Linked DNA regions of Caenorhabditis elegans. Changing the gene in region 1 together with any one later gene gives a genetic interaction. Each region holds a gene or a part of one and is shown on either strand. Other genes may lie near its edges. The genes, in order: mys-1, ksr-1, lin-25 and eor-1.

What was found.
Region 2: of mys-1 (region 1) and ksr-1, changing one enhances a phenotype caused by changing the other (phenotypic enhancement), as found in Caenorhabditis elegans (one large-scale study listed by BioGRID).
Region 3: of mys-1 (region 1) and lin-25, changing one enhances a phenotype caused by changing the other (phenotypic enhancement), as found in Caenorhabditis elegans (one large-scale study listed by BioGRID).
Region 4: of mys-1 (region 1) and eor-1, changing one enhances a phenotype caused by changing the other (phenotypic enhancement), as found in Caenorhabditis elegans (one large-scale study listed by BioGRID).

Annotation. Positions count from the first base shown.
Region 1 is NC_003283.11:7,081,026-7,086,328, reverse strand, and holds mys-1 (Histone acetyltransferase Tip60 homolog), read left to right. Parts: upstream 1-1,666; 5' UTR 1,667-1,675; coding exon 1,676-1,814; intron 1,815-1,859; coding exon 1,860-2,037; intron 2,038-2,100; coding exon 2,101-2,446; intron 2,447-2,960; coding exon 2,961-3,656; intron 3,657-4,553; coding exon 4,554-4,571; 3' UTR 4,572-4,784; downstream 4,785-5,303. Other genes in the region: VC5.2 (Laminin EGF-like domain-containing protein), read right to left, coding at 1-297; npa-1 (Polyprotein allergen nematode domain-containing protein), read right to left, coding at 4,875-4,967. UniProt on the Caenorhabditis elegans protein: Probable catalytic subunit of the Tip60 chromatin-remodeling complex. Plays a role in acetylation of nucleosomal histone H4 and perhaps also H2A, probably acting as a component of the Tip60 histone acetyltransferase complex.
Region 2 is NC_003284.9:8,273,406-8,278,202, forward strand, and holds the start of ksr-1 (Kinase suppressor of Ras A), read left to right. Parts: upstream 1-1,763; 5' UTR 1,764-1,813; coding exon 1,814-1,919; intron 1,920-1,961; coding exon 1,962-2,032; intron 2,033-2,673; coding exon 2,674-2,850; intron 2,851-4,004; coding exon 4,005-4,095; intron 4,096-4,797. UniProt on the Caenorhabditis elegans protein: Serine/threonine-protein kinase which positively regulates Ras-mediated signaling probably acting at the level of let-60/ras or/and lin-45/raf. Involved in sex myoblast migration.
Region 3 is NC_003283.11:12,648,155-12,652,966, reverse strand, and holds the start of lin-25 (Protein lin-25), read right to left. Parts: upstream 3,043-4,812; 5' UTR 3,011-3,042; coding exon 2,978-3,010; intron 2,908-2,977; coding exon 2,793-2,907; intron 2,746-2,792; coding exon 2,663-2,745; intron 2,616-2,662; coding exon 2,506-2,615; intron 2,456-2,505; coding exon 2,368-2,455; intron 1-2,367. UniProt on the Caenorhabditis elegans protein: Participates in the inductive signaling pathway downstream of let-60 Ras and the RAF/MAP kinase cascade to regulate specification and differentiation of many cell types. Positively regulates the fate of vulval precursor cells.
Region 4 is NC_003282.8:4,793,158-4,801,192, reverse strand, and holds eor-1 (Zinc finger protein), read left to right. Parts: upstream 1-2,005; 5' UTR 2,006-2,016; coding exon 2,017-2,098; intron 2,099-2,159; coding exon 2,160-2,440; intron 2,441-2,495; coding exon 2,496-2,609; intron 2,610-2,667; coding exon 2,668-2,810; intron 2,811-2,855; coding exon 2,856-3,029; intron 3,030-3,084; coding exon 3,085-3,342; intron 3,343-3,390; coding exon 3,391-3,464; intron 3,465-3,566; coding exon 3,567-3,751; intron 3,752-4,525; coding exon 4,526-4,724; intron 4,725-4,780; exon of another isoform or gene 4,781-4,929; intron 4,930-5,180; coding exon 5,181-5,364; intron 5,365-5,573; coding exon 5,574-5,674; intron 5,675-6,325; coding exon 6,326-6,534; intron 6,535-6,584; coding exon 6,585-6,767; intron 6,768-7,196; coding exon 7,197-7,486; intron 7,487-7,548; coding exon 7,549-7,801; 3' UTR 7,802-7,999; downstream 8,000-8,035. Other genes in the region: dpf-7 (Dipeptidyl Peptidase Four (IV) family), read left to right, coding at 1-38, 89-450, 655-793, 841-957, 1,244-1,594.

The DNA.
Region 1 (5,303 bases):
ATTAAATTGTTCAATATCATAAGAGCAAGAGTCAAGGCAGTCAATACTTTCCGGGTATATATCTGCAGCTAATTGTGTAGATGCTTCTCGAAATTCATCAAACTTTGAGTTCATTAAAAAATGATCTAACGTATTTGAAACTTTTTTATCTAGTTTTGATCTCCATAATGTGCACTGATCAAGACGATTTACCAAATTGAAGCGGAATGTAACAATATCCTTTTCAGATAAAGGTGAATGAATAAATTCAAATTGTGGGATTATTATAGTAACAATTAGTATAAAATATAGTGACATGATAGAGTATGGGTCAAACCGTCTTCTCTAATTGAAAATGGAAAATAGTAGAAGTAAACGGAGACGGCGGTAAACCTGAAACGACGATCAATTACTTTCTGTGATCGAAAGAGAAAAGAAATGACGAAAAAGATATATAGATTACAAAGAAGGTCGTATTCTTTCACGAGTGTTATGATAATCATAATGATCGGAAAATGGGAAGAAGAAGAAGGAAGAATAATAAGAAAAAGAGGAAAAATAAACGAGGAAGAGGCTCTCTTATCAATCTTGTTCGAACAGGTGTTTTGATGTGACGCGTTCAATCAGTTCAATGATTTTCAACTCTTCGTCTCTTCATCTCATCCTGTCACTTGTCGCTTTTTGATATTTGATTTTTTGTTTTCGGATTTTTTGTGTGCTTCGTAGTTGCTCCGATGATGCCGGATTCAACATTTGAATGTAACATTTGAATTTTGAAATTGAAGGAATTCATTTGAATCTAAAGCTTGCAGGGTCAAGACCGATACATTCTTGCAACACATGACTCGAAAGTATGTAGGAAAAATTGAAGTTGGAAACTTGGAATTTGATGAAAAAGTACAGTAATCCATTCTCTCTTATTTCGCAACTTTCTTCGATTTTTGATTTTTCCTAGATTTTTTAAGCTAAAATTTTGCTGTTTTATTTTCATTTTTCATGCTTTTCAATTTCGGTTTTCAACAAAATTATGTTTTTCAGAGAAAATCTCGTGAACAATAACTCGGCTACTGTACCATTTAAAGGCGCACACCTTTTCGCGCAGCATTGATTTAAATTTTTTTGTTCGTGGCTCAACAGTGCAATGGACATCTAGATATCTGAAATTTTACCACTGAATTCAGTTCATTTTTTAAGCATCTTCAAAAATTTGCGTTTTCCTAATTTTCTTGTGATCGTTTTTTTTTTGAAAGTACAATCGTACATTATAAATAACTATTTTTCAATTCGAATAATTTAATTCAAGATCATTTCGCAAAATAATTGCCTTGAAACGTTATGCCGCGGTCAATTTTCAACCACCCTTGTTATTCTTTTTTGAATTGCCGCCCTTTTTCCCTGTGGCCGGCGCAGTGCGGCCGAGGTTGGTTTCTAGGCCAGCCGGCGCGTTTTATTTTTTTCGAGCATGATTTCACAATTATTTCTTGCATTTTTAAAGTTTTTTATTGATAAAATAGTAAAACTAACAACGGATAATATTATTTTAAAATTAAAAAACTAGTTTGTTCATTTTTGGATCGATTTTTAGATGTTGTTCATGGATTATGCACGCAAGAAAGTACTATCGTTCACATTTGATTGCTATATTATTGAATATTGAATTTTTCACACAAAATTGTACTATTTCCAGATATTTATCATGACCGAGCCGAAGAAGGAGATTATAGAGGACGAAAATCATGGAATATCCAAGAAAATACCAACAGATCCCAGGCAATACGAGAAAGTTACAGAGGGATGCCGGTTATTGGTCATGATGGCTTCACAAGAAGAAGAAAGTTAGTTTTTACATCTATTTAAACACATTTTCCAATTATTTTCAGGATGGGCCGAAGTTATTTCAAGATGCCGAGCTGCAAATGGTTCAATTAAATTCTATGTCCATTATATCGATTGCAACCGAAGACTTGACGAATGGGTTCAGTCTGATAGGCTCAATTTAGCGTCGTGTGAGCTACCAAAAAAAGGAGGAAAGAAAGGAGCACACTTGCGGGAAGAAAAGTGAGAAATCTATAAACTTTTCAAAAGATTTTAAATAGTTTTATCAATTCATAATTATTTCAGTCGAGATTCGAATGAAAATGAAGGAAAGAAAAGCGGCCGAAAACGAAAGATTCCACTACTTCCGATGGATGATCTCAAGGCGGAATCCGTAGATCCATTACAAGCAATTTCAACGATGACCAGCGGATCTACTCCAAGTCTTCGAGGTTCCATGTCGATGGTCGGCCATAGTGAAGATGCAATGACAAGGATCCGAAATGTCGAATGCATTGAACTAGGAAGATCACGAATTCAGCCATGGTACTTTGCACCTTATCCACAACAATTGACAAGTTTGGATTGTATTTATATTTGCGAATTTTGTCTGAAATATCTAAAGTCGAAAACTTGTCTGAAACGGCACATGGTGAGTGTTTCGAGTTATAGAAAATGACCGAATATAAATAACTGTTTTCAAAATTCAAAAATTTTCAATTTTCCAAAAATGAAAGAATCGGTGAATTCGAAAAAATTCGAGTTCTTGTGTGTTTTTGGCTGAATTTTTCGGTTTTTCTTGCTTTTTCCGTTGATATTAGTTTTGAAACAATGTTTTTAAAATTTTCCGGCATCGAAAAAAATCGCAAATTCTGGGAATTTGCTCCAAAAATTGCATTTTTGAAATACTTTTTTGCGAAAACGAAAAAAAAATTCACAAACGGTGTTTCAAACCAAATTTATCGTAATCAAAAAAGTTTCGCAAATAGGCCATTATTCTGCGTGGGAATTCAAATTAAAATCAGCTACTTTTTCTATTTTGCAAAATGGAAAAAAAACGTAAAAAATAGACAAATTTTTAATTTTTTAAACAATTACATTCGGTCCATACTCTTCATTTTCTATCATTTAATTAAAATGCCCAATTCTAATTAATTTTATTTCAGGAAAAATGTGCAATGTGTCACCCACCTGGCAATCAAATCTACAGTCACGATAAACTTTCATTTTTTGAAATCGACGGCCGCAAAAACAAAAGCTATGCTCAGAATCTATGCCTGCTTGCCAAACTTTTTCTGGATCACAAGACTCTTTACTATGACACGGATCCATTTTTGTTCTATGTGCTAACCGAAGAAGACGAGAAGGGTCATCATATAGTTGGATACTTTTCAAAAGAAAAAGAATCAGCTGAAGAATATAATGTTGCGTGTATTCTTGTGTTACCTCCATTTCAAAAGAAAGGATACGGAAGTTTGCTCATCGAATTCAGCTATGAACTCTCGAAAATTGAACAGAAGACAGGATCACCCGAAAAACCACTATCAGATTTGGGACTTCTCTCATATCGATCGTACTGGTCAATGGCCATCATGAAAGAGCTTTTCGCATTCAAAAGACGACATCCAGGCGAAGATATCACAGTTCAGGACATTTCACAAAGTACATCGATTAAACGAGAAGATGTTGTGTCAACGTTACAGCAACTTGATCTATACAAATACTATAAGGGATCATACATAATTGTGATTAGTGATGAAAAGCGTCAAGTTTATGAGAAACGGATTGAGGCTGCGAAAAAGAAGACACGAATTAATCCAGCAGCTCTGCAATGGCGACCCAAAGAGTACGGAAAGAAAAGAGTGAGTTTTTTTCAATCAAAAATTCGTGTTTACGGCTAAAAACTGAAAATTAAAATTAAATTAAATTCGTGATAACATTTTTTTTTCAAAAAACCAAAAAAAAACAATTTCGTTTTTGGCAGAACCAAAAAAAAAATTTAAAAAAAAACGGTTTACGCCCTATTTCATACAAACAACAGAAATTGCACTTTTTTGAGCAAATTTGACCCTACAATTTTTTTCCAGTTTTTTGCTCTTTTTCAAAAAAAAACACCTAAACACTGGAAATACTAAATACTAAGGAAAAAAATGGAAATACTGGTTTACAGTGTCAAAAAATTGAAATTTTCTAATAAAATCATTTTTCTTTTTACTAAATTTATCAAAAATTTATAACTCAAATCTTTCAGTTTTTGCGAATTTTTTTTCGAAAAAACGAAAAAAAATAAACCTAATTTTAACCAAATTGTAATTTTGAAAAATCTGGAACGTCCGGAAAACTGAAAAATTAAAAAAAAAACTTTTCAGAAATTTATTTTTAAAAAACCGTTTTTTTAAATCAAATTTTGTATATGTTGATGAGAAAAAAAAATAGAAATCAATGTTTTTAAGTTTTAAAAGAAAAATTTATTTTAATTATTTTAGTTTTAATAAGGTATTTAAACAGTAACAAGGATGTCGGTTTTTCGATTTTCCGAAAAACTAAAAAATTGTCTTTTTCGATTTTTTAATCGAAAAAAAATAGAAATATTTTCACAAAACATACTATTCTTCTAAAAAAAAGAATAGTGGCAGATTTTAAATAATTTTTGAACTCTCGCAATTTTTTTCGAAATATCCAAAAATCGAAAAACCGGCACAAAAGCAAAAAGTCTCCGGGAATATATCTTTAAATTATTTTATGAACTTTTTTTTCAGGCGCAGATCATGTTCTAGCAACAACGACATGTGTTCTCGCCACGACGATCTCAACCTGTACATTAAAATATAACACTCCGTTTTATCTCGCATCTACACACCGAAAAGCTTACGCTATCCCTTTATCATTCCCACACCGCTCAGAGAGCGTACGCCTCATTTCATTTCATTTGTTCTGTGTAATAATTTGACTTATTAGTCACTTATTTTTTTAATGAAATTATTCTTGAATTTCATAATCTTCTTGTTGCAGTTCAAATAATTAAAATTCATCATATAGACAAGTAAGTTTATAACTGCAAAAGTGAAGTTTTCTAATCATTAAGCGTTCTGAAGATATTCGGCAACCGCCTGAGCGATCAGATCACGGCGGGAACGAGTTGAGGCGTAGACATGCTTGCAGCCAGTGACAACCTGAAAGATATTCAAAAAATTAATTTCAGGACTCGAATTTTTAACAATCTGAATAAAAAAATCCAAAATTGTATATTATAGAGTTTTTTGAAATCTAAGCGAAAGCGCGCTCCAATGTAAAACGAAAAGTGCTCCGCCCCTAAACGTTGGGTCCCGTTAGGAATTTGTTATTTTTTCGGTTATTTCTGACTATATTATAATTTCGAAACGACAAGTATTTTAAACATCATTTCGACATAAAAAATATGTAAAACAACAAAAAACAATCGAAAAAATAGTGAAAAAGTTTGAATTTACAGTCTCGCCGCCTCCTACCGAGACCTAACGTTAGGAGGC
Region 2 (4,797 bases), on another chromosome or scaffold:
TCCATTAGTCGTCTTTTAAAACGTAATTGCTATTACTTCAGTACTTATATTTTACCCTAATTTTTGGCTAACTTTACCATAGTTTTTGGCACGTTCAACAAACTACCCATAATTACTTTCAAAATTTTCATCGAGCAGGAACAACATTTTTAATGTTGACTTTGCCGAGATGTTACACTAAATTAGTTGTGATCTGCCAGCAAACCAGGAACTAAAAGCTTGTTCAATGCATTCCTGGTATGAATCTTGACCTACTCTTAAGTTGATTACGCAACATTTTGAACACCTGTTGTGGTCTTCTCATTGCGGACCATTTTCTCTCACCCCATAGACATACAGTCTCCTCTCTCTCTTATTCATACACTATTCCCCCCATCCTCCCGTCTTCCCGACATTTTTGCGTCCTTTCCTACTATTCCTACTGTCAATCCACACCGTTCTCCCCTTTTCTCTTCATCACGTTCAAACAGTTTGTTTGCTTGCACGCCGATCTTTCTTCCTCTTTCTCTTTCCACAACTCTCAGCATTCTAGCATTATTTTCTCCAATATATTGAACAGTATTTGAATGCAACGTTTCTTTTAACTTCCGACCAAAGCCTTATGGCAATTTTTTCTCACAACTACTCTTTTCGGTCGGCATTGCTTAATTTTTAAGCGCCATACTGTTGTTCGGTATTTCATGTGAAAGCGAAAAATTAAAAAAGAAAGAAAAGTTAAGCTTCCTAATTTTTGTATTTGTGGTAGTTTTAATACGCAAAGCTAGGAAAATGTAAAACTCAAATTGATAAACTATAATTACTTAGGAGTGATGATAAAGGATAATCGATTTTTTAAGTGAAATAGTTGAATATTTCTACTCAATAAAAAAACACATTTAATATTGGTAGAGTACAATTATTGGATTTGGAACAGTATTCTAATTAAAGAAACAAAAGAAGCCAAAATAAAAGTAGAATGCCATTGAAAAAAATCGGGACATTGTGATGTAATAAGTCTAATCTAACCACCGGAAAAGAAAATGTGGTCGAAAATACCAATTCTTCTTTTCTTCTCGTCACTTCTAAATTGAGTAATGTACATAACCTGTCTCATAATTGTTCGCCACGCAACCTTCACAATTTCGATGGCAGAAAGCCGCCGAAAGCTTTTAATTTACTTTCCGGACGATTTCGACTTTTCTAGAAGGTTAATACACACCTTTTTTGAGTAGATGATGTTGTAATAGTAAACAAACTGTAAGCATACTTATATTGGTCATCGCAATTTGACTTTGAATTGTAAACATCCAATTGTGATGGAATTTGTAGGAAGAAAATATTGTAGATTTTACTAACTCATGAATTGAAATTTCTGACTGTACTGTGGGGCATACACATATTTTCTCTAATTGTCTTGCTCCCTTACAGTACGAATGCAAACCATACTAACAGAAAAAACTCGGCACTTTTCAATATTACTTGCTCGTTTGCTTTTCTAGTCATTTAACGCCTTTCTAAAGCACCAAATACATTCGTATTGCCCTGCTCCCACTACCACACATACATAAACGAAGGATGAGCTCACAGGGAGCCATTTGATAATTGCGACGACACACACACATACACAAAATGAGAAACCAAGCAAAAAAGAGTGTGGCGCACGTGTGAGCTCACAGCGTGCTCCGTTTGCACCGGGGATTTCCAAAAGTTGACCAAAAACCAGCACTGTTTTTTCTTGGCAACCTTTTGAACGTTGTGCTCAACCAACGAAAGATTTATTTCAGGGAAAAGATCCGGAGAAGGTAAAAACTAACCAATAATATCAATACACAGAATGATGCAAACCCAAGTTGCATCACGTGCGGGATACAGTAATCTACCGCAGTTTGGTGCAGGAATCGCACAGGATATAAAGACACAGGCTATAAATAATTTGAAGGGTTAGTAAAAAAAATTTAAAAAAAAACAATTCGAAGTTGCAGAATGTTTGAAACTTACCACTATCAATCGATTTTTGACTTCATCATACGAAGAAGATGCAAAAAGTGTAGAAGTAAGTTTTTTTGAAAAAAAAACAACTTTTGTAAAAATTCAAACTTCTCCTATTCGTGAGCATCGTTGTTTTATAAACTGTAAATAAATGAATTCAAGACAGACTAGTCTTCATTCAGCAGAAAAAATTTTTAAGATGCTTTAAAGTTTTGTTCATAAAATACACTATACATATATTGACACCTCAGTCCAAATTGTTTTAGATCTTTGTGGTAAACCAATCTGTGGTACTAAACGTTTTTCTAGACGTTTTCCGTTTATACTGTAAAGTTTATTTGTATAATTAAATTCTATAATGGTATTTTGATAATAAATTTAAAAAATTAAAAATTTAGATGCACAACTTCGTGCATGAAACGCTAATCGTTATATTTGAAAAACTGAAACTTACTTTCAAACAAATGTTGATTTTCAAATGTTTTAAATTTAGTGAGTTTATGATATTTTGAATATGAAAAAATATCAAAATATCAAAGCTTTTAAAAAATAGATTTAAAAACTTTAAGTGAATGTAACTCTTTTTTTCTACGAATTTTAGTAATCAAGATATCAGAGACAGATGAAAAGGTGAAACAACCTGAAACAAATGGTCTGAAATCTTTCATTGACGTCAACTAAATTCCAATGATTCTCAATTTACAGCGCAAAATATTCTCGGCCGTTTATCAAATGACAAAAATTGGTTTGATTGATCGCGAGAAGCGTGAGATCAACGCCATTTGGTTCACATTTGTCGGGCTCAGCGCACAAAACATTCGGCACTTGGAGATTTGCTCGATCACCGATTTCAATGCTCTGTTCAGCATCACTAACCAAGAGGTTTGATCCTTCTCTTTTTTGCTCTACCTTTTCTCTCTTTTCTCACACATCATTTCCTGATTTTACACCTAACAGAAACATACAAACACTCACAAATCGGGTTCTAGGCATATCTATATCCTTCTAAATGTCTTTCTGCTGATTCGGGTCACAACCTTCAACATTATCGTTTTATTCTTAAACTTCTTTTCATTTCCCTCTACGCTTCCCATTGGTTTGGGGTGTTTGGGAGTGCGCTTTGACGCTCTTTCCCTCTCGTTTTTCCGTTTCTGTTTCCGTCTCTTCTTTCTTTCTTTTCACCTTCTACTTTCTGCATTTCTCTCCTTTCCTTTCCCACTCTTCTCTTTCTCTAGAGGCCAGAAAACTGCAGCTCTCTCCGTTTTTTTCCTGATTTTTGTGAGCTAATTTGTTATCCAAAAAAAGAAGAGTAAACAGAAAAAGAGGATTAGGTTAATTGTTACCTATTGATATTCTGCTCATTGTTGTTTTTTAAGACTCACGAACTTTCTCTCAGCTAGCACATGCATAAGTCATGTATCTGACTGATTTTTATCATCTCATTTCGTAATTGTTTGAATTTGAGTTTCGACTTTTCATTTAGTCATTTTGCAGCAGGAAGTGTTTTTCGAAATGAAATTTGTCTTACTTTTATCTGACAAATCAACTAGTTTGGTAATTTTTCAGATTTAAAAATTTCCTTTTTTTCATTGAAGATTTTTTTAAAACTTGATTTGTCAAATTTTTTAAGATAACTTTACCATTTAATTTACAACAACATTGAACAAATCAATTGTTAAATTTGAATTCGAAACAAAACTTGAAAACTTCAAGTGGCCTTTCATATGATAATTGGCCAAAATATTAGAGTTGATTTTGAATGAATGTTTTTTGTGAGAACAACTATGCTGAAGCATTTCTGGAACATTCATTGTTTTTAGCGATCCAAAGCATACACGTTTTTGTTTTTTTGCATTGCCTCCGTATACTCGGTAACGTCATTCGTGTTCCAACAACACCTGTTACATTTCTACGAGTTGTTTTCACTCTTGTCTGCATGTTATCAAACTTCTATTGCTCGTTTCATTACTTTTAACCGAGTTTCTCTGTGCTCCGCCTTCTGAACATTTGAACCCAAACATAAAAGTTTATTTCAGTTGCGATCGCTTGCGGATCGTGGTCGTCTTGATGTGGAGACCAAACGAAAGTTGCTTCAATCTACAGTGATTTTACAAAATCACTGGAACGGTAAGTGTGCGGCAATTTGAAAATTTGTATTAAGTAAAATGTAGAAGAAAATAATTCTTGCCACGAAAATTTTGCAACTGTTATTTTTTGAAAATGTTCTCAAAATTCCTTACTTTTCTAGTTATTTTCATAAAAATTTATAGTCTCAAAACCAGTAATTTGACATTTTTTAATCAAACTTTAAAATTTAACTTTAATCAATCCCGAGATGGTAACTGCAAAATTAAAAAAAAACAAGACGGTTTTTATTAAAACAATTTTGAAGCATATTTTATACTGAGTTTGCTCCACTTCTTGAAAATTTAAATCACTGTCAAATGTTCAAACCCCATACATTTTAAAATTTGAATATTTTGAATGTAATTGAAATAAAAAATGGAAAATTTTATGATGGAGGACTTCCGCAAAAACTGGTGACCATTTAGTATTGAGCTTTTTGATTTTAAATAAAAAAAACTTTCCAAAGTTTTTGGAATAATTTTATTATGGTATATTTGATTATTTTTGTACCATAGGAATGGTTTTGAAAAACTTCCCCCGCAGATCGGAGTCCGCCTTCAAACGTCGTTTTCGGTTTATTTGTTAATTTTAGAATTAATACTTTAAGCAGCCTGAGAATTAAAAAATCAACCTTATTCTTTTATTCAAATTAAAATTTTTAAAATGTAGTGTAATGATACACATTGAACCAGCAAATTTGAC
Region 3 (4,812 bases), 5.6 Mb from region 1:
TTTGAAAGTTACCTTGTAGCAGATTTTAGGTATAATTACAATTTCACTCTGAAATCAACATGAAAGTTTCATAGCTGTGTTCTTTTTCCAACTTTTGAAATATACTACTGTCTGAGCGGTTTTTAACTGAATCCGACGATATCAGAACGGGAAAATGAAATTTATGAAAATTTTCCAAACAAAACTATTTTGAAACCTTATTAGGCACTAATCAGTTATTGTAGAAAAATTCTCAATCTGTCGTTTTTGAAAACATTCCTGTCAACTTTGTGATTTGGCATAATAATAAGAAACTCGACAAGTAGGGCTCTATATACCCACATATCTTTTCGGACAGAGGGAATGCGAAAAATTAATCAATCGCAAACTTGTTAAGCTTAAGATAAGGAACACTTTTCCCGTGCAAACTATTTGAAAAAAAATCTGAATGGATCCAGATTCGAACCAGCAATGACTCTACTGAAGAGCGCGCGCTTTACCACTTCTCCAAACAGGCAAGTGGCGGCCGCGGTTCCAAGGAATATGTGAAACCAACCGAGCTGTACGAAGTAAGAAGCTTCCATTACTTTTTCAGATATTTAGTTCTGAAAACTTTGTCAACTCTCCTTATCAACAACTAAATGGTCCTTTTTGTAGTTATTTCTACTGGAAAAAAAGAGTGTGCCTGTAAATAATATCCTGCGTATAAACGTTGTTGTCCAGTGAAAACCTTCGCTTGACTTGAAATTTATCTTGAAAACTACTTTTTTTGAGTGTATTTTTAAACATTCTACAAATTCCACTTAATAGCAGCTCGGGAACTTCTGTGATTCATCGAATAAGCTATTTTCAAAAAAAAATTGGCCCAAAATTTGTTTCTGAAAAACGGCCCCAATCTTGTTTTTTTCCAGTAATAAATGCAATCTGAATTTTTTCGAAATTATTTTTCGCATGGAATGTCCTGTTTTTGGGTTTCAAACGCACTTTTTTGTCAATTTTGCTTTTTAAAAATATGAAGTGTCGTCGAATAAAATGCACGGTACGCAAAAGTACGCAAACACCGACATGTACCGTACTCCGGAATTTTTTCAATTTCGATCGAATTCGATTTGCCAATAACGAAAACGACGAAAACGTTACGTTTGAAGCCGGAAAATGGGATTTTGATACGAAAAATTATTTTAAAAAATAAACTTTTTATATACACTCTTGGAAAAATAAGAACTGTAGTGGTTTTTGAGAAAAAACATTTTAGGCCCAAAATTTAATTTCAAATGTTTCATTTCTGTATCTCGTATCAACATGCATGTACAATTTTCTAGAAATTTCAAGTCAAGGGAAGGTTTTCACTGGACAACAACGTTTATACGCAGGATATTATTTACAGGCACACTCTTTTTTGCCAGTAGAAATAACTACAAAAAGGACCATTTAGTTGTTGATAAGGAGAGTTGACAAAGTTTTCAGAACTAAATATCTGAAAAAGTAATGGAAGCTTCTTACTTCGTACAGCTCGGTTGGTTTCACATATTCCTTGGAACCGCGGCCGCCACTCGCCTGTTTGGAGAAGTGGTAAAGCGCGCGCTCTTCAGTAGAGTCATTGCTGGTTCGAATCTGGATCCATTCAGATTTTTTTTCAAATAGTTTGCACGGGAAAAGTGTTCCTTATCTTAAGCTTAACAAGTTTGCGATTGATTAATTTTTCGCATTCCCTCTGTCCGAAAAGATATGTGGGTATATAGAGCCCTACTTGTCGAGTTTCTTATTATTATGCCAAATCACAAAGTTGACAGGAATGTTTTCAAAAACGACAGATTGAGAATTTTTCTACAATAACTGATCAGTGCCTAATAAGGTTTCAAAATAGTTTTGTTTGGAAAATTTTCATAAATTTCATTTTCCCGTTCTGATATCGTCGGATTCAGTTAAAAACCGCTCAGACAGTAGTATATTTCAAAAGTTGGAAAAAGAACACAGCTATGAAACTTTCATGTTGATTTCAGAGTGAAATTGTAATTATACCTAAAATCTGCTACAAGGTAACTTTCAAATTCCAACTTTTGATATTCTTTTTTTCATTAGGTAGTAAAAAATCGTTAATCGTAGTAAAAGATACGAATCGTAGTAAAAAATCAAATTCGGAAACCGTAGTAAAAAAAACGGCCGTAGTAAAAGATACATTTCGTAGTAAAAAATCGAAATTGGAAAATGTAGTAAAAAATACGGCCGTAGTAAAAGAGTAAACCGTAGTAAAAGAGCAACGTAGTAAAAGATGAGGTAGTAAAAGAGCATTTGCCAATTTTGAACATATATTTTGGTAACCTTCAACATGTAAGCTTTTAACTTTAAACAACATTTATCGCTCGTTAAAAATACTAAAAATCTTACTTGTATCAGTTGCGCGAGGAAGAAAACAGTCGGCTTCATAATCGAAATAAGCTCATCTGCATGCAATTTATCAGAAAATGACTTGATTCTGAAATTAATAAACTTGGCAAAATTTTTCAATTAAAAATGCCAACTCACTGTACATAGTTGACCATTTCCCGGATCAATTCGCATTGCAAACATTTCGAATAAATTCTATCTGTTTTTGTATTTATCACACTGTGGATGACTTGATTCCAGGTGATTGACTGTAAATTTATAATTTTTTGGAATAAAACAAAGAACTACAGAGTACCTTATCTACGACAAGTTTGAGAAGATGGTCCCGGAAAACATCATCGATATATGTTCCATTATAAGCAAACCGAATCAAAATATCTGAATAAAATATATTAATACAATTACAAAAAAGAATTGCAACAAACCACAAAGCTGCTGAGTTGAGATACCGGGAAAGTCAACTGGACGAATGACTGATGATACTTTTTGTCGTTTTTCATTTGAGCAATTGCGGAGTTTGTCAATATATTCAATAACTATCTAAAAAAAAATTAAATACAAAATAAGTTTGTTGAAATTAAAATAAAAATTTATTTAAAAAAAAACTCACTTTTGTTGAACTATCAATTTTGATACTATTCATGATTTAATTGATTTAAATTTGAAGCATTTAAACTGTAACCAAAATATATTCAAACACCGACATTAACCCAATATTCGGTGCAATAGTATAAATGGATGTGAGACGTAGACACGCAATAGAGCGAGGTGGCCGAGTGTTTATTGTCCCCCACTACTTGGGGGACTAGGTACGATGCATTCCTCTTCCATTGTACATTTTCTGACATAGGAGGGATGTCTTCCTTCACTTCTCAGAGTCAATGAAAAATTGGGCGTGGACGGCATTTATTTTCAATGATTCTACACAATTTTCAGATGTAATAATCAAACTGCCACCCCAACAATCTCTTAAGACGATTTAATTCAGCTTCATTCACTTTTCATTTTCAAAAAAAAACTTTAAGCTTGTTTTAATTACTTGTTTATAAGTTACCATGGAAACATTACATTTTCTAAAATGTGCTTTGCACTCAAACTATAGTTTAAGTTTATATATAAACTTGGAAATAACAACTTTCAATATCTTGAGCATGTCTCAAATTATTTCATTCGTAATTTTCACTAGTGTTTTTATCAGACCCAAAGCCACTATTGTAAAAAAAAACTAGGCAAAACTTTCAGCCTTTCAAAGCTGGGTGCATCATTTTCTTCATCGGCCAAAAATCATGTTCTCGGCAGAGAGCAACTTAAGAAACAGGTGGAGGTTAAGTAAAACTTTGAGTGAAAATATATTTTTGAAGATAGATGAAAACTTGAAAATCGAAACACAAATACTCGAGGAACGTAAGAAGAAGGCTTTAAAGCTTCTTATCATAGGTACCTGATTAAAAAAAAAAACATAATCAAAATGTAACCTTTATTATATTTAGGTCCGGGAGAGTCAGGAAAAAGTACAATAGTCAAGCAAGTAAGGTAAATTCAATGAAAACTACATTTTTTCAGTTGCTTCCAAAAATTATCACCTACTCAGCTGATTTTCAAAATAATTAGATAATATATTATCGGTAGTTTGTAATATTGAAATTTTGAGAATTCTTCATTGTGGAGGATACAGTGTTGAAGAAAAAAGAGCTCTAAAACATGGAATTTATATAAATATCTTGGAAGGTATTGATGAGATACACTGGGCAATTATGTGGAGACAATTAATTTACGAAAATCCATCTTCAATTGTAAGTAATTACCGTATTTCCTCTATTAGTTTTGCACCCCTTTGCTCAACTTTGACAACTCATATCTCGTTTTGTTTTAAGCATATAAATAATTAACAAACTACAAACGTTAGAAAACATCTTGCAAAAATTTTATCAGTTGACAACTTTTTTATAAAACAAACGACTACTGAGATATGAGCTGTGAAAGTTGAGCAAAGGGGTGCAAAACTAATAGAGGAAATACGGTAAATGTTTCAAAACTAATTTCCATTATAGGAATGCCTAAATCAAATCCGAATATTTACGAAACAGTTCAATAAAACTGGAGAGACTGAAAATGTTTTGTGCAAAGACATTATAAAGTCTATCCAGATGTACATAAAAGATGAAACAGTTGCCATGATGTTGAGGAATAAAACTGTTTATAATATTGAAGACTCAACAATTCAGCAAGTTAAACGTTGGGTTTTATTCAGTCTAATTATTATTATTTCCAGTTTCATTGAAAACCTTGCAAGAGTTATTGGAAAAGAATACTTGCCAACCGGAGAAGATATATTGAAAACCAGAGTCCCAACCTTGGGAATTGCACAATATGAAGCAAATATAAAACATTTGACTTTCAAGTAACACTTTGTTCAGTTTGTTGTGGTTTTTGGAAGGAAACAAT
Region 4 (8,035 bases), on another chromosome or scaffold:
AGCATTTATTGTTTAACACGAATTACAAGAATCAAGTGGTAACAAATATATTCGATTTAATTCTGCATTAAAATAAATTTATTTCCAGAATAATTTGGCGATTCACGTTGAAAGTTTAAGAACCACGTGCCTTGACTTGAAACGGCCTTCACTAATTATTGATGTTCGAGGCGATGAATTCCTTTTTGAAACGATCACAGCAAACGCTTATTCTCGTCTTTGGCATTCTCAATTGGGCTCACAAAGTGATGGTAAATTCACGGCATCGCTGTTATGCACACACAAGCCAGAAAACGATACGATTCACAATTTTCACATTTATCCAATGAGTTTTCAAAAAATTGGCAATTCTGCGATACTCTACATGTTGCCGGAATGTGTTTCTCCCGGATCGAAGTTCCCGCTGGTCGTGGTCCCCTTTTCCGGATTAGAACCTAATTTCACCGTTAGGTAGATTTTTTTTCTTTAGACTCAAAATTTATTGAAAAATCAACAAAAAAAGCATCGAAAGAATTGCAAAATTCACGGATCGAGCTTTCAATTTCAACCGCAATTTTCTATCTTTATTTTTTTAATTTAAAAATGTTCAAATAGCAATTTTCCCTGTTTATAAAGAATTGATTTATAAATTTAAAATTAAATTTAAATTTTCAGTACCGTTGACCCTGTGCTCTCTACAATGGTAACTTGTGGCTTCTGTGTGCTAGTTGTAAACTATCGGGAGCCATTTATAGCAATTCCAGGAACCTGCTTTCCAAAGAATTGTGGTTCGGAATGTATTAATGATGTTCATGTAGAGAATCGTTCGTTTTTTTCCTCATTTTATGATTTTTTTTACAGGAAACTGTACTAGAAGTTCTCGAGAGACACGGAGCGCGGTTAGATGAAAAATATATTTACTTGTATGGATTTGAATTTGGATCTTTTGTGGCGTGTAGTCTGATTATCAAACATAAGGTGGGATATTACATCGACGCGAGATTCTGCGATTTTTGGTGAAAAATACAATACCCGGTTTCGACACGACATGTTTTCTTCAGAAATATTTTGAAAGTTTTATTGATAGATCCGTCAGTTTTGCGACATTATAGTTAAAAAAAAACAAAGTCTCTGATTTCGGTACTCCACCTTTAACTTTCAAAAAATGTCGTGTCGTTACCCCGATATTTTTCTATTTTTGGCACGAAAATCACAAAATTTAGCGTCTCATGGATTTTCATATTTTTTAATTCACTATTTTCAGAAATTCTATAAAGGATGTGCACTCGTACGGCCGATGCTCGAATTTCCATTCACAACGTGTGCAGTTGATACAGAAAACCCTGAAGCTGAATTTCTGAAAGACGTGGAGCCGGTCTCACATGCGTCTGAAATTGTTACTCCGATGTTGATTGTTCTGGAGAATAAAAGCGATACAAAGTACAAAGATTTTGAGTCTACAATTCACAATAATGGCGTTCCGTGTTTTGGAGAATACGAAGAAGAAGACGAACAAGTGAATGATTTCGTTGTGAAAGTCATTCAATTTTATAGAACACCATATGGAGAATACGAGAATGGTTCTAGAATTGAAACGCCGGTTCCTGATGATTAATTATTTATTTTTTCTTTCTTGAATTATTACTAACTTATATTGTTAATTCATTAAAAAAACGCCGATTAGAACAATGTCTACATCAGCTTTAATTCGTTGTTAAAATATGTTACAAATTGGAATTTCGCTCAGTTTTAAATTTTTTATGTGTCGTTATGCTCAGATATATATTTTCTTTTTTTGAAATCTCGAATAAAATTTGAATTTCGTTAAATATATAACTATCGTTAAAAATCCATTGAAATAATATTTGCAAATCGATAATCTTTTAGATTGTTCAGTAGAGCGCGTCTGCACACTCCTCACCCGATTTGAATCGGAGCATTTATTCTAAGTTTATTGACGTCTTCCTCGATAAAATGTGAGTTTCCCATCGAATAAATTATAAAATCGCAATGAAAATTATTTCAATTTAATTTCAGATGACATTAGTAGCTAGTTCCGAAAACACAGGGCTCTGTCCAATGACATTTGATGATAGTTCTGGGCAAACCAGTCATATGTGTAAGAGTTTTGTATTTAATTCAATCTTGGCTTGATAATTAAATTAACTTTTATTTTTCAGTGTTCCAACGATTACAATATCAACGAAAAACCGGCCGATTTTGTGATGTGGAAATTGTTGTTCAAAACAAATCATTTGCGGCTCATCGAAACATTTTAGCAGCTCACAGTCCATATTTTGACGCAATTTTCAAATATTGCAAAATCACAAAGGAACAGCTCACAATAAATAGCAAATCTCCACAAGTTTTCGAGTTATTCCTCAATTATATGTACAGTGGAACAGTGATTATCGATCGATCAAGTGTTTCGGAGCTATTGAGATTTGCAAATAATTTTCTGGTAATATTATTGATTTTTCGATCGACTATTCCTGCTATAATTCCGTTTTTTTCAGATAGTGAAGCTAAAAGTGTATTGTGCAGCTTATTTGGATCGATATCTAGACGCGGCCAATTGCTTATCAATACGAACGTTAGCTCAGAGATATAATCTACCAGGACTTGTGAAAGTAAGAATTTGAATTTTTAAAGCTTTAAAAGCGAGAAACTTCGAATTTCTTTTTTCAGTCTGCTACAGACTACTTTGACAGCAATCTTAATCGATGTTTACTGGAATCCAGAGATATAATTGGTTACACGTATACACAACTGACAAGACTCATTGGAGATCCGAAATACGTGGATTGTATTACTTCTGACACTTATTTAAAGTGAGTTTTTTCGTTCCAAAATGACTAAAACAGTAATTTTTTCAGATTAATAGTCCGCTGGGTCGGTGAAGAAGTATCGAAGCGAGAGGAAATCTTCCGATTACTACTAGAATCCTGCGAATTTCGAGAAGTTTCAGCTGACACACTGGAATTTCTTCTGGATTACTCGCCGTTGCTATCGAAAAGTCAGAAAAGTCGATTTTTGCTACTACATGTCATGTAAGTGGAGTTGTTAAAGTTTACAAAATTATTACTGATGAAATAATTTTTGTAGGGAAACAAATAACATGCTTATGGAAAAGTACTCGACTCAACTGAGCAGTCTTCGTCAGAAAATCGTTGATCTTCCGATTCTCCACGATCCATCTCAATTTGAAGATGATATTTATGATTCAAGTGATTCTGAAGAGGATCCAGATGATTATATAGCTGATGGACATCCAACATCTGCACAAGTTGTTGAATACGGAAATGATGTTAATAATCGACTGAAAATGAAGATTGCATTCCAGCCGGGAAATGAGAAGAAGCGGTTAGTGATTATATGAAAAAATTGATAAAATTCAATGGAAAATTTTAGATTAAAACGACCAAAAGGAATGAAAAAACATCATTTGCACCCAATTCCACCGATTAATGCGACGGAAAATGAAAGTGAGCTGGTTTTTTTTCTCAAAAAAAAAGGGATTTTGTGAAATTGTAAAATCAAAAATTGAAGAAATCTTCTGTCAAATTCCTTATCAATAAAATTTCCAGGTATTCCATGGATCGACGAAGACGAAATTGATGGTGTATATGCTACATGTTCATTGGAAGGATGTCATACCTATGGACCAGTTGACAATTTGGATCCAGATGATTGTGAAGATGAAGAAGATCAACCTGATGAGAATGGACCGTCCACTTGTATTTTCTGTGGACTGCGGACTGCAAATGAGGAGGTATTGACAAAAAATAAATCAATTAAAACCTTGAAAAAATGCGAAAAAAATATTATTTTTCTCAAATTTAAACCGTCAATATGATTTATTCTATTTTTAGACGTCAAAAAGGTCTCGACACACCGAACAATGGGCTACAGTAACCTGTTGTCGGTGTGGTGAGACCTGACCAGATTTTGGCGAAAATTTCATATTTTGGCGTTTATTTAATATACAAAACTCGACACGACGATTTTTGGCTACATCAAGAAAATTTACGCCTTTAAAGATTACTGTATTTTCAATCTGAGGAGTTTTTATCGATTATTTTTAGTTTTTCGATAAAATATATTTATTTATCAACCAAATATTCCGAAATTTAAATAGTTTTTAAAAAGCTTAAATTTTAGAAAAAAAAACTATGAAAAATCAACAAAAACACCGTACAGTAATCTTTAAAGGCGCATAATTGTTTTCGGTTCTAACGAAAATTTGTCGTGTCGAGACCAGGCTCGAAAATTGCAAATTTTTGTGTCTATATAATATATATCTTTAAAAATATTTTTTTAAAGAATTACAGCACAATTTGGAAACTTTCATGCATAATTTATTTTTTTAAAAATATTTTGATGTAAAGTTCCATATTTTGGGAAAATGTAAAAACAAACTCGTGTACGAACGATCTTCTGCTGGTTTTATGAGTTTTATGTTCCAAAAAACCAAAAAAAAAAAAAAACCAGAAAAGTGTTGTAAAATATTTCGATCGATTCTTCAACAATTTCCTCATATTTTCAGCTTCTCGAAAAGCACAAAGCTCGTCATCACAATCGCAATACGTATTATATGTGTCATTTATGTGAATTTGAAACCAATTGGAGCAAACAATTCTATCTTCATTGTGCTGAGCACTGGACAGAGATACCGTATCGATGTGAAACGTGTCCGTTCACTTCAAATGAGATACAAGAGTTTTTGACCCATAGGCTTCAGCATAGTGAGTTTTTACAAAAATTTTGGAAAAAAACGTACATTTTTTAATTTTGAAAAAAAAACTCTTTTTTTTTGAAACTACAAAAAAATTAAATGTATTTTCAGATAAATCGTTTCTTTTTCTGAAATTCACAATGTTTCTTGAAATATAAACCTATTTTCATTTAAAAAACCAAATTATGAAAATTAATTTTTGTAAAAAAATTGATCGATAATGTTTTTTTCATATTTTCAGAATTTACCAACAATATCAATTTAAATTTTTAATTAATCTCCAAAAAATCGAATGAATAGCTAAGCTTTCAATTTTCTGTTTTTTTTTTAAATTTACCATCAGACACACGTTGACTTTGCCGAAGGAAACACATTAAAACCGAAAAAAAACGGCTGAATAAAATTGTTTTCCAAAATTACTTTCTAAAAGAAACAAAAAAACCCTCTAAAATTGTCAAATTTTCAGCCGACGAGCGTTTCTTCAAATGCGGTGAATGTGCATGGAAAGGTCGAACTCGTTCTCAACTGTTTGCTCACGAACGAATGCATTCTGTACTCGATGATCGATCATTACACTGTGAAGAGTGTGGAAGAGGATTCCAACAGCATAGTACATTGGATCATCATGTTGCTAGTCATAATGATCCTAGGTAAGTTTTTACTATGAAATTTCGAGATCTGAAAGTTAATAATGTGCGAATTTGAAATAAAAAACCATGCAAGATCTGATTTTGAGGCAATTCCAATTTTGCTAGTAACGTTTGGAGGCAATAATAATAATTGTCTCAAAACCAAACAAGGCGACTTTTATTCAAATTCAGAATTTTCACAATTTCCATCAAATTCTTCCAAATTTCAGGCCTTATATCTGTGAGGATTGCGGTTTCGCCACCAAAACCGCCGATCATCTTTCCCTTCATCGTCGTCAACATACTGGAGACAATTTTAGCTGTCACATTGGTCAGTTTGTATTTCCTGTAACACCACGCATTGGAATACACTGAATGCCAGAATAGTTCCGTTATCACCTGCCAACCGATCCATCATTTGGATGACTTTTGCGCAGTTCACTTCTACTTTTTTCCAACCAAAAACCCCCCTCGCTGCGTCTCCTTATCACCCGTACTATTCCATTAATTTTCGTTTCTCCTTGGCGACACAGCGCCGCCTTTTCCGCACAAAAAATGGTCGAAAAAACGAAAGAAAACGGCGGCTGAAGATAGAAACAGTGGTTAGATCATCTGTGGATCATATCACTTTCACTTTTTTTTTCTGCCGAACACACACTGGGGTACTGTAGGTATTTGGTAATGGTTTTATCGTCGCGCTCGACATAAAATCATTTCGACGTGTTTCATTAGTTTTTGCGCTTTTGCAGAGAACTTTTCTCAGAGCTTCTTCTTCTCCAATGCAGGGCCTTTCCCAGCTCGCTTCACGCTGTGCGTAATTTTTTCGAGTTTTTAAACATGGAGTATTGTTTAAACAGCTATGGAGTTGATCTGAGCAATTTTTTGTTATTTTTCCTATAAAATGACATATTTAAAGATCCTGAAAACTACACTATAAAATGACATATTTAAAGATCCTGAAAACATTACTGTTAATTTTCAGCCGGTTGCGACTACTCGTCGACCAAAAAAAGCCAACTGGCGGCCCATCTCCGTACCCACATGGCGGTTCGCGCCCATCTCTGCAAGATCTGTGGCCGTGGATTCATCGAAAAATCACATCTGGTCCGTCACGAGAGGATTCATTTGGAGGAGAAGCCGTTCAAGTGTGATCAGTGTGAATATGCATCTAGTCGGCGTGATAAGCTTAAGGTTTTTGAGCATTTTAGATGATAATTTTTGATAATTTTCATAATTTTTAGGAGCACATCATCAAGCATCACAATTCGGAAGTGCTCACATTCCAAAAGACTCAACGAAGAAAGTATAAGAGACAGAGAATGTTGGCTGCCGCGAGCAATATTGTGAATAATCCGGATGCTCTGTTCCGTCCAATTACTTCTGATGATGCTGTTAGCAATTGGCAGGCTACTAATGACTTTTCGGTAGGTTTATTGAATTAACGAAGAGCCAAGCGACAGAATTTCTGAAATTTCGCCAATTTTTCCTTGTCGAAGCAGCTGAAATATAGTTTCTTTCAAACTATAACCCGTTATTGCATATATTTTCGGTACTAGATCTTGCTTAAATTCGCCGATTTAGGCACTATTAAAGTCAATAAGCATCCAATTTTGGTCATATTATGCCAATATTGATGATTTTTGGATGCCTATCGACTTTAAAAGTGCCTAAATCGGCGAATTTCAGCAAGATCTAGTACCGAAAATATGCAATAACGGGTTATAGTTTAATAGAAACTATATTTCAGCTGCTTCGACAAGGAAAAATTGATGGTTTTTGGGATTTTTGAAAAATCGGCCGTTTGGGGTTATACAAACTTAGAATCTAGAAATTTCTCATTTATCAATTTCCAGACGTACTCTCCGAATCCCAACGATTACGGTGGACCATCAACTTACGGCAACCCTTCATCTCCTCAGCGTGCCTTCTCAGTCGTTCATCCATCTCAACATCAACATCATGCCCAATCACCTGGCTGTATGTCTATGATGAATGTTCCATTACGGGACAATCATCATCAGATGCAGCGACAGGATTCACCGGGAGATTCTGTTGGAGGTGGTCAAGGAGGTGGTGGTGGTGGTGGACCTGAAGGATCAGACAATACACATGGAGTTTTGATGACACCTAACTTGGTGATGAGGTTTGTTACCTGTAAATTTTGCAAAAAGCAGTGCCGCATTAATTCTAAACATTATTTTCCAGATCTCCACATAACCGGAGTGCTGTCCAACCGCAATTCAACAATCTCTCCACAAACTCTGATCCACAACAACAGCAGCAACAACAGCAACTCCGTCCATTCTCACTTCCAACCTACGGACAAATGGATTTGGCTCAGGCGGCTCAACTCCAGCAACTTCAACAACAACTACAAGCAGCCGGGCTTCCACCGACTGGAACCCCGAATAATCAAGATAATTCCAATAATGCATGGAATCCGTGGAATGTACAATAATAAATATAGTCCTGAAACTGCCTAAAACCTCACTTTTGAAAAAACCCCTTTACTATCTTTGCCTTTTCTTGTAACATGTTTCAAATTGTTCTTAATGCCTTCATTTTGATATGTGTATGATCTCCTTGTTTAATGCCTAATTAGTCCTAAATGGTTTTTATGGTTATAAATAAATTTATGAAATTATAGATGACATTTTTAACTGAAACATTGTTTTATTTTTCTTCCAGACCA